2 linked regions of the Ovis aries genome follow. The main gene of each other region encodes a partner of the protein of the gene in region 2 in a complex. Links are inferred from orthologs where the notes say so. Each region holds a gene or a part of one and is shown on either strand. Other genes may lie near its edges.

Evidence for each region.
Region 1: the proteins of GNAO1 (region 2) and ADRA2A are in contact, whole or in part, in a cryo-EM structure (PDB 7W6P), measured with the Homo sapiens proteins. The link is inferred for Ovis aries from reciprocal best matches to the Homo sapiens genes GNAO1 and ADRA2A. Residues at the interface, in NP_066268.1 of Homo sapiens: Ile28, Lys32, Lys193, Asn194, Leu195, Asp218, Phe336, Thr340, Asp341, Ile343, Ile344, Ala345, Asn347, Leu348, Gly350, Cys351, Gly352, Leu353, Tyr354; in NP_000672.3 of Homo sapiens: Arg77, Arg146, Ser149, Ile150, Ala153, Ile154, Asn157, Leu158, Arg160, Pro162, Ile234, Ala238, Arg241, Arg383, Arg386, Phe387, Val390, Leu391, Phe444, Asn445, His446.

The regions. Positions count from the first base shown.
Region 1 is NC_056075.1:31,103,672-31,110,992, forward strand, and holds ADRA2A (alpha-2A adrenergic receptor), read left to right. Parts: upstream 1-3,099; 5' UTR 3,100-3,647; intron 3,648-3,768; 5' UTR 3,769-4,082; coding exon 4,083-5,486; 3' UTR 5,487-6,934; downstream 6,935-7,321. UniProt on the Homo sapiens protein: Alpha-2 adrenergic receptors mediate the catecholamine-induced inhibition of adenylate cyclase through the action of G proteins.
Region 2 is NC_056067.1:23,770,271-23,776,925, reverse strand, and holds part of GNAO1 (guanine nucleotide-binding protein G(o) subunit alpha), read left to right. Parts: intron 1-2,330; coding exon 2,331-2,459; intron 2,460-4,121; coding exon 4,122-4,251; intron 4,252-6,655. UniProt on the Homo sapiens protein: Guanine nucleotide-binding proteins (G proteins) function as transducers downstream of G protein-coupled receptors (GPCRs) in numerous signaling cascades.

The sequences.
Region 1 (7,321 bases), on a different chromosome or scaffold from region 2:
TCCTTGGCAGCTCTCCCTTCCTTAGACACCACCTTTATGCACCCCCCCCCCAAGGCAATTGCTCATCACGCCTGCCCCCAATGAGATTTATTATTTATTACTTAGAGCAGTGAATCTTCACTGAGTGTGCATGTTAGCATCTCCCAAGGAGGTTTGTTAAAATACACAGTCTGCATTCCATCACAGCCCTGATGAATCAAAATTACCTTGGTGGAGCACTAGTAAGTCTATTTCACCTTCCCAAGCAATGCAGATATACAGGCCTGGATAGAAATTATTGTCTTTGTGGATATCTCTCTGCTCAGTGCTGTCTCACTCAGCAAGCACAGCACTAAATCTTCTATCAAAAAACTAATAGCATCCACATAGCCTTTTGAAGCTCAGAGATACTAACACTGAGTGTCAAGCTAAGGAGCCAGAGCCTTTGGTGATAGATACATGTGTTATCCTGGTGGCTCAGACAATCTGCTTGCACTGTGGGAGACCCAGGTTTGATCCCTGGGTTAGGAAGATCCCCTGGAGAAGGGAACGGCAACCCATTCCAGTATTCTTGCCTGGAGAATTCCATGGACAGAGGAGCCTGGTGAGCTACAGCTCATGGGATTGCAAAGAGTTAAACACAACAGAGAGACAAACACATATGTTAAGAGGAAGAACTCTGCATATAAAGAGGCTCTGTAGCTAGCCTTAGACATGTTGTGTACTAGGAACTCAACAAAAGACAGCTATCATTATTATTAATAATTGTCCTGAATTGGACTCTAAGACCCTAGCTCCTTGAAAAGCCTGTTTCCATTTTAGGAGAAAAGACTCCAAACCCAGGAATTAAGAAGCTGACTGCCTGCTGACTGGCTGTTTGGGAAGCATTTAGAAAATGTGACATGAGATGTTATACACAGGCTAGCAGCAGAGATTCCAAGAAAAGAAAGCCCTGTGGCCTCTATTTTCATTTCCCTTTTTGCTCCTGAAATGAGATGGGAAGGAGAGATGTGTGTCAGCAGCTGGTGTGGAGAGAGGCGGTGATGATCTATGAAAACTCCGGCCCTAAGGTCTGTGACCATCACAGGGAAGCCCAGATTGTCATGGGCTTTCATGTTTGTCTCTCTTAGCATTCATACTTGAGGTCTGGGGCTCTTAGTTTCTGTGCAGAGGTGAGCGTGACCACATTTCCAACTGAGTCTCATGCAATCTCTCCATATCTCTTCTCTCAGGAGATGCAGAGCTGAGACTTGGTTAGAAGATGGAAAATGGACTTAACAGAGGGAGGAAAGATTGCCTTAACTTTCTTCAGGTGCTCCAGAAAAGGGGATTAGAAAGGACCTTGAGCATCAAGGCTGAGCATCACCTTCAACACCAGCTGATGTCCAGAATTAAATCTGGAAAGGGAGATCATCCAGTTGGAGGAATGATTGCATGGGGACACCTGTGAAATACTTTGAAAAGCACAGACTTCAGGACTATCTACATCAAGAGCAACCACACTGATTACTGTATCACTGGCGGAGACTGTAGACATCAGCTGGTGTTGAAAGTGATGCTCAGCCTTGATGCTCAAGGTCCTTAATTTAGTCCTCAGTCCTGAGCCTGAACCCTGCTGGGCAGAGAAGCAATCTGTTCCATCCTTAGAACTTCCAGCTTGATTGACTACATAAGGTATTTTGGTTTAGTAGGCCCTTAAATAAGATAGCTTTTCTTTAGGTCTCATCTCTCTCCTGCTGACAGTTCCCATCCTCCTGGGCCTTGCCCTTAAACTGCCTACTGTTTATTTGAAAAGTGCAGATAACACAAGCCGGTACTCTAGCAACGGTTAAAATAGATGTCAGGACACCGAGCATGCAGAGGAACACTGCACTCACCCCCTCTCCATTCTATTCCTATCAGAGGGAACGTGGAAAACATTCTCTTTTCTCTCGGGCAGCATCCTCGTCTTACTGAAAGACTGGTGTGCGTGCATCTGAAATGCAGATGTGGTGGGGGGCGAAGTCTAGCTTTCGGCCTCAACAAAGACACAATGGTTCAGAGAAGACCAGAGCAGAGCAACCCGTCAGGCAGGATCCAGGCCTCCGGGATCTGCGAGAAACGTGGGTTGCCCTGTATCGGCAGGGTGGGCTGCCAGCTCTGCAGGCATCAGAGCCCTCTTCCTGATGTGTCTTCATCAGCCCAAGCCTCACTCTCGCCGGGGAGAGGGAGCCACACAAGAGTGTATGCATTAGGAAGATTTCTGCAATATGACAAAGTGCAATAAAAAATCTGGGTTCTCTGTCCCCGAGCTTGGACCCAAACTTGCCCTGAGATGAGAGAAGGCAGTCGCAGGGGCGGGAGTAGGCTCCGGGCGCCCGCGGGTAGACTCGCAGCGGTGCCGGCGTGCGGCCGGCAGGTGTCAGTGCGCCCTCGCGCTGCCGCCGCGCGCCGCCTCCGCTCCAGGACCCCTCCTCACCGTGGTCTAGCGGGCGCCGGCTCAGACCCAGGCTGCTCGGGTCTCGCAGCAGCTCTGCAGCTGGGACCACAAATGGCCGCTTCTCCCCACAGTGGAGCTCTTAACTCTGGCGGAGCTCACTCCGCGCGTGTGTGTGGGGGGTGCCTCCCTTTCCGCCAAAGGGGTTGGATCTGAACGTGCGCCTTCCTCTCACCAGCCCCACTCGCCCCGCCGCCCGGAGCACTTGCAGGAAAAGTGTGGCCCGGCCCAGGGCGGGGTTGTTCCGGATGCGACCTGTACCGGTAATTGCTTCTCCCGATTCATCCGGGGGACCTCAACACCCTTTCCTCCCAAGTCCCACTCAGCTCGATGTGGCCACTCCCGGGTGCCCAATGTGTTCTGCTCGGCGCGCCCAGAGATGCTTGGCCAATTCCCAGCAGGCACTCCCCGGGCACGCCCTTTAAATCCCTCGCTCAGGGTATCCGCCTCCCCAAAGGGCCCGTCTCACCAAGGGGGGGGGGGAGGGTTCCAGTGGGTCCCGCGCTGGGCGAGGGCGCTAGACCCGCGGAGGGGAGGTGCAAGGGGCGGGGGAGGGTCGGTTTCCCACGTGGGGGCTGACGCCGGCTGCTCAGCAACGCCGGCTTGATCCTGGGGCTATAAAACCAGTCCACGGCTAGTGCGGCGGAGAAGCAGCGGCCCGGGCTTCAGTGCAGACGCCTAGCAGCCGGCGCGCCTCCGCTCGGCCACCCCCAGCACCTTTCTCTCCCCAGCCCTGCTCTCCTGCCCCAAACTCACGCTGCCCTCGGACCCCAGCCTGTCCCGTCGCGCTCAGCGCACGAAGCTCGCCGGGCCGACGCCCAGGAGACCTCCTGCCTCCGTCTCGGCTCCGGGAGGGCCGATCGCCCACCCGCCCGGGTCTGCCTGAGGACGGGGGCGCCTTCATGCTGCCCCCACACCCATCATCCCACCGACACCGCCGCCGCCGCCTCCGAGCTCCACGCGCTGCGCCCCAGCCCCAGCAGGGCACTCAACTTTGGAAGTCCCGCGACGCTCCGAGAGGCGGCAGAGTCCGCACCGTGGCCCCAACCCGGGCCCCGCCGGCCCCGCCGCGTCTGGGGGAAGCGAGAGAGTCGGTGTTCGCTTCGGAGATGTAAGGAGAGAGTCGCAGGACCCCAAGCCAGCATCAGCACCCCTCGGCTGCCTCCTGGGTTGGGGGCGGGCCCCGCACACGGTAAGACCTCTTGCTTTCGCTCAGGCTCAAGAGTCAAAGATATATAAACAGATATATTTAATTTCCTGTTATCTTTCCAAGTCATCAGGCCACCGATGATTTTTGTTCTCTCTTCTTGAAGAATAAATCTCTCTTTCCCCATCGGTTCGACCTACTCTCTCCCGCCGCTTAGAAATAAAACTTGGCTGTATCTAGGAGCTGGGAGCGAGAAGGCGCCGACCCCGAGCGCCTGAAGCGCGCGGACCGGGTGCGGTTCGCGGGAGCCGGGCCCATGGGCCGCTAGCGGTCCCCCAGCTCGGGGCCCGGCCTCCCTGAGGCCCCTTCTCCATGTGAGGTGCGGCGGGGCGAGCGGGGCGCGAGAGGAAGAGGAGGACCCACGGGCACCGGGCCGGAAGGCAGCTGGCAGCAGGCCCAGGCGAGTGGGCACCCGCGTTCATGTTCCGCCAGGAGCAGCCGCTGGCCGAGGGCAGCTTCGCGCCCATGGGCTCCCTGCAGCCGGACGCGGGCAACGCGAGCTGGAACGGGACCGAGGCCCCGGGGGGCGGCGCCCGGGCCACCCCCTACTCCCTGCAGGTGACGCTGACGCTGGTGTGCCTGGCCGGCCTGCTCATGCTGTTCACGGTGTTCGGTAACGTGCTTGTCATCATTGCTGTGTTCACAAGCCGCGCGCTCAAGGCGCCCCAGAATCTCTTCCTGGTGTCTCTGGCTTCGGCGGACATCCTGGTGGCCACGCTTGTCATCCCTTTCTCGCTGGCCAACGAGGTCATGGGCTACTGGTACTTCGGCAAGGCGTGGTGTGAGATCTACCTGGCGCTCGACGTGCTCTTCTGCACGTCTTCCATAGTGCACCTGTGCGCCATCAGCCTGGATCGTTACTGGTCCATCACCCAGGCCATAGAGTACAACCTGAAACGCACGCCACGCCGCATCAAGGCCATCATCGTCACGGTGTGGGTCATCTCGGCCGTCATCTCCTTCCCCCCGCTCATTTCCTTCGAGAAGAGAGGCAGGAGTGGCCAGCCGTCCGCCGAACCGCGCTGTGAGATCAACGACCAGAAGTGGTACGTCATCTCGTCGAGCATCGGCTCCTTCTTCGCGCCCTGCCTGATCATGATCCTGGTCTACGTGCGCATCTACCAGATCGCCAAGCGCCGCACCCGCGTGCCGCCCAGTCGCCGGGGGCCCGATGCCGCCGCCGCTGAGCTGCCAGGGGGCGCCGAGCGCAGGCCCAACGGCTTGGGCCCGGAGCGCGGCGGCGTGGGCCCCGTGGGCGCCGAGGTCGAGTCGCTGCAGGTGCAGCTCAATGGTGCCCCGGGGGAGCCCGCGCCCGCAGGGCGGCCGGACGCCGACGCGCTGGACCTAGAGGAGAGCTCCTCGTCTGAGCACGCTGAGCGGCCCCCGGGGTCCCGCAGGTCGGAGCGCGGGCCCCGGGCCAAGGGCAAGGCCCGGGCGAGCCAGGTGAAGCCCGGGGACAGCCTGCCGCGGCGCGGGCCGGGGGCGACGGGGCCGGGGGCACCCGCGGCGGGGCCCGCGGAGGAGCGCCCTGGCGGGGCCGCCAAGGCGTCGCGCTGGCGCGGGCGGCAGAACCGCGAGAAGCGCTTCACCTTCGTGCTGGCGGTGGTCATCGGCGTGTTCGTGGTGTGCTGGTTCCCCTTCTTCTTCACCTACACGCTCACGGCCATCGGCTGCTCCGTGCCGCCCACGCTCTTCAAGTTCTTCTTCTGGTTCGGCTACTGCAACAGCTCGCTGAACCCGGTCATATACACCATCTTCAATCACGACTTCCGCCGCGCCTTCAAGAAGATCCTCTGCCGGGGGGACAGGAAGCGGATCGTGTGAGTGTGGAGTCCGCTCCCGGAGAACAGACTTGCGCTGACTGCAGGCAGCTGGGATCCAGGGGGCGCGTCTACGTGGTCCTGCCAAAACCCGGGTCCAGCCTGTTCCTAGTTTCTTGGCCCCAGGATAGCTCTGCCGCTTCTTGCGGGCATCTGCGCTCTCCTACCTGAGAAAAGAACTGGCTGGGAGGGCCATACCCCTACTCCAACCCCCTCATTATTGCTAGGGCAGCTCCTCACTCAGAGCCATCTTCCTGGGTTCTTGGGCAGCCCCAAATCAGTATTGTTTCCTAAAAATATTTTCACCTCCCCTGGGCCCAGCTGTCACAGTCGTTCAGAGCAAGCACGAGAGCCCAGAGGGGATGGATGGCTCCCAAAGGGTTAACAGATGGGTTGGGGGTGGGGGTTACCCAGCCCTGGCTAATTGCTTTCCCCCTTCCCCAACTCTTATTTTTAAACAAATGCTCAGGGCAGCCCTGCAGGCCCTCCCGTCCCCCCACCCCTTGTAAATATACACTATTTTTGATAGTACTTGGGGGTGGGGTGGGGTCCCAAATGTCTCTTGGCTTTTGATGTTTGAATCCTGGCCACTGGAGGTGCTCTCCAGGCAGACTCATTGTGTCTAGTTCAGGGCGAGCCTCTTTGCAAAGTGAGCCCTTTTCTGGTGTCATTACCCTCTCTGTGTCCTCTTCACCAGCAACTGGTGACTGTCCCTTGGGACTGGACTTGCGATGAGATTTCCTGAGGGGGAAAACATTTCTGTCCATTTTCCCACCCCTGTGCCTAACAGCATAATTGCCTTGTCCTATGTAAATATTACAAAGATGGATCAAGACAGAAGTAAATGAACCTTTCTGCCTTGCAGCAGCCCTGTGTATAAAGCCATTATTCTCGGATGCACCCTTTTTCACTCCAGTACTGCACTTTAAAACCTTCTCTTTCCAGTGTCCCCTTCCTCCCTTCCTCTGGGGCCACTGCTTGAAAAATATGTATGTTTCCATCTTGGATGTATGTGTTACCACTCCCTCCTTCAGAGTGCTGACTGTGGGAAATCTTTTACCTGCTGTTTTTAGACACGGAGAGGTGGAAATTATGTGGAAGAAGCAAACCTGATACAATTTGCCCAAAGTAAACAGTGTGAAGAGACAAATGGGCCTGCCCAACTGTACAGTTCTTGCCCCAAGAGCTCTTAAGTATCAAAGTGTTGTCCATTTTTCCTCCCTGTTTTTCTGGTTGAGATCAAGTCATTGATAAACTCCCAAAGTCAAGGGAGAAGGGCGGAGACCTTGTTTACATCCAAGTTGCCCTATGTTTTAGACAGAGACTCTTTAAGGCCTGCGCTCATATTTCACTAAAGAAAAATTAATGTCAGCACATGTTGCTAATGACAGTGGATTTTTTTTAACAAAAAGTTTACAGATCAAATGTGAAATAAATATGAATTAAATGGTCTGTCTGTTATCTGAGTTTTCAAAAGCATTAAGACTCTGGAAACATCTGAATTTATGTATATTTGAAATTAAAAAAATACTTATGCATTATAAAACACTTTTAAAAGGCCAAGCAGTAACAAAGCTGCCATTTATCATCTGTTTCTTCTTTGCCAGATGCGATGGTGAGTCTGTTATAAGCTCTGTTTCATTTAATTGTCCCCCAAAGCCCATGAGGGTAGGGACTGTTATGATCCCCATTTAACAGGTGAAAAAAACTGAGTCTCAGAGGGCAAGGGATTTATTCAAGGTTAACCACAGTTGGGGGAGTGTACTGCATGCAGGGTGATCAGGTCTTAGGGTCTGTACTCCTCACCCCAGAGTTTTGCAGGAGTTATATCACTAACAC
Region 2 (6,655 bases):
ATTCGGGTCCCCACTGGAGATGTGCCTGTAAAGCACTCTTCCATTCAGAGCCCTCCAGAGCGAAAGCCAAGACGCTCACACTGAGCTCAGGGGCCTGTGTGCTGTGCCGTCACCTCCGTCACCCTCTCCAGCCTCAGTGCTCACTGCCTGCCCTGCCCTGCCCCATGTACAGCCTCTCCTCCACTCCTGTCCAGAGCCTGCAGGCCCGGCTCCTCCTCCACGGTGGGCGTGGCCTCTGCGCCCACTGGTCCTTCTGCCGGACCAGGAGAGGCTCATCCCCTCACTGCCCTCCGTCTCCTCTCGAATGTTATCCTGCTCCACGAGCCTTCACCAGCCACCTGATACCAAACAGCAGCCCCCAGCCAGCCTCCCCCTATGATAGTCTGAGCCTTCCCTCCTGACACTTACCACCTCCTGACATGTTGTACAGCTTACTGCTCTGCTAATTGCCTCATGCGCACCACCCAGGAACAGAGGCTCCAGGAGGTGGGGCCTGTGCCTCGCAGCACCCAGGACAGTCAGCAGGCAGTAGACACAGCAGGTGCACAGTCCCCTGAGCACACCCTCTACCCTGCGGTGGCTGCCTCCCTGCATGAGGCTCAGCCAGAGAGATGGAGGGCCAGGCTGTCTGCCTAAAGGAGGGTTCCCCAGCTGGAACGGGGCCAAGACCAGAGGCTCCCAGCCCAGGTCTCCAGCTGGGGATGACAGGAGGAGGCTTCTGAAACCAGCACCGCTTCTGGGCAAAGGCAGCTTGGGCAGAGGAGGGGCACGTACAGAGAGGTTAGGAGGACCTGCTCCAGGCTGAGGTTGGAGGCCGCCCAGATGCCCATGGGCCTGGCGAGGAGGCTCCACGGCGGCCAGGGCTTTCAGGTCTGCTCTGCCGTCTCAGCCTCCCTCCTTTCGCGGCGGAGACAAGGCCTGGAGACCTGTGTAAGAGCACTGGCTCTGCAGTCGGGTAGACCCAGTCTTGATCCCCCAGCAGTGTCATCCCCTTTCTAGGAGTGTGGCTTCAAGCTCACCTTCCCTGAACCTGGGACCAACATCGGCTCTGTTTACCTAGGGAGAATTCTTATAAGGATTTGAGGCAGCTTGGATTGTTGGTTCACCAGTGGACACCCTCCTTAGTGGAGGCATCCGCCCTTCCCAGCCCCGCCCTGCCAGTGGGTCTAGAGTGGGTGCTAACGAAGCTGGGCGCCTCTGTGCACAGCCTGGGACTCCCACATCACGCCATGACTCAGACCCTCACGGTTGCTCCCTGTGGGCTGCATATGACTCCCCCTGCACAGGGATGGGTTGCCCAGCTGGCCCTGAGGGTCCCTGAATCTTCCTGCCAGTCTGAGCGAGCTCTCTGCTTCCTAGTTTCCTGGATCTCAACCTGACTTAGGGTTCAAACCTTAACCCGTACCAACCCCTAAAGCTTTCCCAGCGTGTGGCCTTGGAGGACCAAATGCACAGGCCAGGTCTGTCTCCAGGGCAAGTGATGGCATGGCAGGGGCCATGATGCCTAAGGTACCAGCGAGGCCCCGCCCCTGCCTGTCTGTGTGGCTTCTGGGCCTCCCTCCCAGGAGCATCAGATGGGAAGATGCGACAGCCCCCTGGTAAACCTGAGGAGTGTGAGAGGTGGGTGGAGGCGCAGAGGGCCTCTGGGAAGCACTGCAGGGTACTGTTAGGAGGTGGGATCCAAAACCCTGACTCAGGGCTGGGCCAGGCACTCACCTTCATTAGAAAACCTGAGTTTTCTAATCTAGGAAATAATACATTTACCTCAAGAAATTAAGGGTGGAACATGATAATGCGCAGAAAGACTAGAAGCTAACTTTAGCCCATCGTTATTTTAAGATGAAGAAATGACAGTGTTAGAAACACGTGTGTGCACGCTAGGCTGCTTCATTCATGTCCGACTCTTTGGGAGCCTATGGACTGTAGCCCACCAGGCTCCTGTGGGATTCTCCAGGCAAGACTACTAGGATGGGTTGCCATGCCCTCCTCCAGGGGATCTTCCCGACCCAAGGAACAAACCCGAGTCTCTTACATCTCCGCATTGGCAGGCAGCTTCTTTACCACTAGCACCACCTGAAAGCCCATAAACACATTAGTCTCATTGAAAAGCCTGACTTGTCTGAGTGAGGCTGAACTGTGTGCGAAGCCCTTGGTCTGAGTTAGAGGCTCTGAGCGCCTGAGGCCGGGACGCGGGCGTCTCTTCCTCAGCTCCGCCCCACACCTGGCCCTGGACAGGTGATGCCGTCCCTCCCTGGCTTGGGTCGGGGCTGGCACTCTGGGAGGGCAGTGCCCACACCTGGTCCACAGTCCCCGTGTGCTGCCATCCCCAGCTACCTGGACAGCCTGGACCGGATCGGGGCCGCCGACTACCAGCCCACCGAGCAGGACATCCTCCGAACCAGGGTCAAAACCACCGGCATCGTAGAAACCCACTTCACGTTCAAGAACCTCCACTTCAGGTGAGGGCCAGGGAGACTCCCCATCCCTGGAGAGGGTGCTAAGACACGGGCGACCCCTGCCTCCCAGCCTCAGCTCATCTGGAGCATTCCTGTCTCAGGGAGCTCTCAAGTTGGGACAAGCAGTTGGATGCGAGAAGGGACCTGTGTGTACCCCTCTTTGCCACCAAGGTCAGGGGCTGTGGTGAGCAGGGAGGCTTCCTAGAAGAAGCATCCTGGAGAGGGGCTCTGAGATACAGGGAGGATTCAAGTGGACAAAGGAGGGTAGTCCTGTCCCTGCCTGACTTCTGACGGGGAGGATGGTGGATCACCCAGGTGGTCTTTGAAGGCATGGAGGCGTGGGGGATAAGAGCGGGCGAACCTAAGCAACATGTTTTGTGTGACCCAAGGACCCATGTCATCTCAGAACTAGAAGGGGCTTGGAGATCAGCTGGCCCACCCTCTCCAGGTATATAGGGGAAACTGAGACCTGGAGGAGCAAGTCTGTTCCCGAGCACAGAACATAGCTCAGGCCCAGGGTCTGAGCACCGTAGGCCCTGCCAGGGTGTCATAGCACCACCTGGGGCAGCTTGCATGCCCTGAGGCCTGGGTGCCCCTAGCTGCCTCCAGCTGCCTCCTGGGTGTGGTTTCTGGGTGTTGGGTGGAGCAGGAGGAGAGGCCAGGATGGCCAGGACAGTAGACCAGTAGACTTGAGTGAGGCCACTGCCTGGCCCTGCCCAGCCTGAGGCCCAGCCCCTGCCTGCTCTAGTCCCTCAGTCTCTCCCACTTACCGATCAGGGCAGAGGGTGTAGAGCTGGGCTGGGGGCGCCTGGCCCGCAGCAGCTGAGAGTATGTGCTGTGGAGGGGCCTCAGAGACCATCACCAGGGCCCAGTATTTCAGATGGAGAAGCAGGGTCCAAGGGAGGTGGTGACGGGATGAGGACCGGACCTGTGTCCTTGCTCTAGGTCCGCTGTGGGCTTCGGCCTGTGGCTGTTCTCCTCTATCAGCGGGTTGGGGCCCTGCCCACCCTGGCAGCTGTGCGTCAGGCCTGGGATCTTCACTCAGGGCGTTAGATGTGAGGTTGACCTCGCACTTCCAGGACCAAATCCCCTCTGCCACCATCTCCCCTGACAGCTCTCATGCCCCAGGGGATGATGCTGAGAAGGGGTGAGGGAGGGCGGGCACAGAGCAGAGAGACAGACGTTGACAGCCAGACGTCTACAGACCGACGTTGGTCTCACCCCAACTCCTGCCGGCACCCTGCACTCAACCCCTTGCTGCTTCACTGGGCCTCCACGTGGGAGCTGCAGGTCCCTGCCCACCTCCCTCTGTGCCTCCCAGGCTGCTCTGGGGTTTCCCCGGACCACAGACGTGAACAGACATGCTCAGAAAGCTGGAGGCTTGCGAAGGCATGTCCAGCCGAGGTCACCCCTTCGCAACAGCGCTGAGATGCAGGGGCGGGTCTTGGCGTCGCTGTGTGGGGCACCACCCAGTCCCGGGGCAGAGCAGTGACGGCCACCCCACCCCGAGGGTGCCGTGCTCGGTCCTCAGCCCGAAGCGAGGCTCCTTGGGAGGCTTGCTGTGTGCACAGCAGCCTTCCTCCCTGACCCCGCAGCTCGACCAGTGTCCCCACACCTGCTGGGGTCTCCCTACCCCCACCCCCAGCTCTCCTGTCTTCCTGGTAGGCTGTTTGACGTCGGGGGCCAGCGGTCTGAGCGCAAGAAGTGGATCCACTGCTTCGAGGACGTCACGGCCATCATCTTCTGCGTCGCGCTCAGCGGCTATGACCAGGTGCTCCACGAAGACGAGACCACGGTGAGTGGCCCCAGCCCGCCCGGCCTCAGTGGCCCACGATGCCTCTCGGGCAGAGCCAGCTGCGGGGGTGGGGGTCCGTCCTTGGCTTGGTTGTTCCCACCTCTCTCCTGACTTCAGCCAGATGCCTCATGATGCCAGTGCAGTGAAGGCAGCCTTGGGCCCCCTGCCAGAGGCTATGTGCAGATGCCGGGGCACGGGCAGCAAGGGCCTCTTCAGTAAACACAGCAGAGTCGCAGAGGCCGTCAGGCCAGAACCAAGTTAAGCAAATCCTAAATGAAATCAGGGTGCAGTCAAGCAAGAATTTATGTAAGACAGAAATAGCAGTTCTTAGCTCCGACAGCCCTCCCTGAGCAGTGGGCAGGGCTGGCAGAGGGTTGGGCTGTGGGCCAGGGCTCATGGTGAGTGACAGGGTGGGGGGCACAGGCCCCTCCCCTGGAGGGCGCCAGCCCGGGTTCCCACCTTCCGTCTCTGCGTCTTCAGTCTGGGGCCTCGGAGAACTGCCAGGCTGAGGGGAACTTCAGAGGGGGGCCCTCTCTGCAGGGGGTGCTGCCTTTCTCTAGGCCTGGCCTTGGTTTGCTGCTGGATTCAGGGAGCACCCTCTCTATCTTAGGGGTGTAACCATCATACCCGCCTGGTGGGGTGTGGGCAGTGGGGTGAGAATCTTCAAGGACTTGGAACCGTCTCTGGCTTAGCAGCCCTGGGCTGGTGGTTGTGTCGTCCCTGAGGGTTGTCCTGAGCCGGGGTCCCACTGAGCTGCCCACAGAGAGGTGGGCCTGGTGGGGTCTCAGGAGACAAGCACCCGCTGAGGTGGGGCTTCTGGGCCGTGGGGTCACATCCTTGGCGATCGTTAGCTCCTGTGTGTGATGCAGGCAGGCACAAACCCCTGGCGCTGAGGTTTTGGGACTGGGCTTGTCAGGGTGGGCCTTGAGCAAGGCTATCTTCTTTCCGGGTCTGTCTCGTCGTCGGTCCTGCCTGCCGGTCCCACGGGGCTGCTACTGAGGTCTGCTGGGCTTTGGGGTGTGGTGGTATGGGAAGAGGCGCCGCCGTTCGGAGAGGTCGGGCTTATGCGGTGACGGTGCCATGGTTAGATGGGGCCAGAGCCACCGGCCGGGTGGGCCGTCAGCACTCGCGCCGCATGCTGACCTGTCGCCCTTGCCTTTTCTCCTTCGGTACCTGGAACACTTCCGAGCGGGGCATCAGCGGAACCCCACAAACCCTGCTGTGTTACGGGGCGAGGCTCTGGGACCCCAGGTGTGCAGCTCTTTCTAACGCTGGCACTGTTCTCAGTGGCCTCAGGAGCCGTGGTGTCTAAGACCCCCAGACCTGGACCTACTGACTGTCCCGAAGCCCAGCTCGGCTCCTGCTGCCCCCATAAGGCACCGCACACAGAGACCACCCCAGCCCATCACTCACTGATCCACTGTTGACCCTGCTTCTGGACCCACTGTTCACAGCCCGCTGGGCCAGCGTGTGGTCTGAGCTCCGTGTGGCTCATCTCTTCTCCTTGCTGCTCCTGGGAGTGTGGTCTGAGCTCCGTGTGGCTCATCTCTTCTCCTTGCTGCTCCTGGGAGTGAGAAGCAGGGCTGGTGCAGGAAGCTGACCCTGCTGTGAGTTTGAAAGAAAACCAAGCAGTGGAGTGTCGAGGGCCCCAGGCCTCTTCCCGGAGACCCGTCCGGCTCAGGCCCAAGGCCCAAGGCCCTCTCAGGAAGGGGCGCGCACTGGCCTCCGGAGCATGGGCAGAGCAGAGGATGTCGGAGCGGGTCTGGCGGCCACGGGGTCCCAAGCTCTGTGGCCTGCGAGTCTCGAGTGAACCCAGCAGGTGCTGGGCCTCACGCTCAGACGGCCTTCCCGGCCTGCCGGCCCACCCGCCCTGTGCCAGCTCCTCACCAGCTCTCGCTCTGGCGCAGAGCCCATTCTGGAGCACCTTCCTCCTCGCCCTCCTGCTTTCACTGTCTCTGTCCCATCCTCTCCCTCAGCTCTTCCCCCATTTCCCTGCCCTTCTTCACAAAGGCTGGGTTCGAGGACAGGAAGCCACAGCATGTGGGGTTGCGAATGGGCTCTTCCTGGGTTCCTTTCCACCCGGGAGAGAGCGGCAGCCTCTCCAGAGCTCGGGTGTTGGCATCACCACTCGACAAGAGCCTGCAGAGGCGGCTCCTTGCCATGGTGCCAGTGAGAATAGCGCCCTGCCTGTGTGTCCAGGGCCAGGTGGACATAGCCCGGGGTCTAGCGCCACTGCTGACACCATGGGAGTGTGGCAGCCACCCCACCTGCTCCTCTGTAAAGTGGAGCCCATGACGAGAGGCCTCTGGGCGGCTCTGAGGACCCCTGGGGCTGGGGGCTGTAAGAGTGCCTGCGCTCGCTCTGGACCCTTCACGTAGCAGACGGCAGCTGCGACACGACTCTG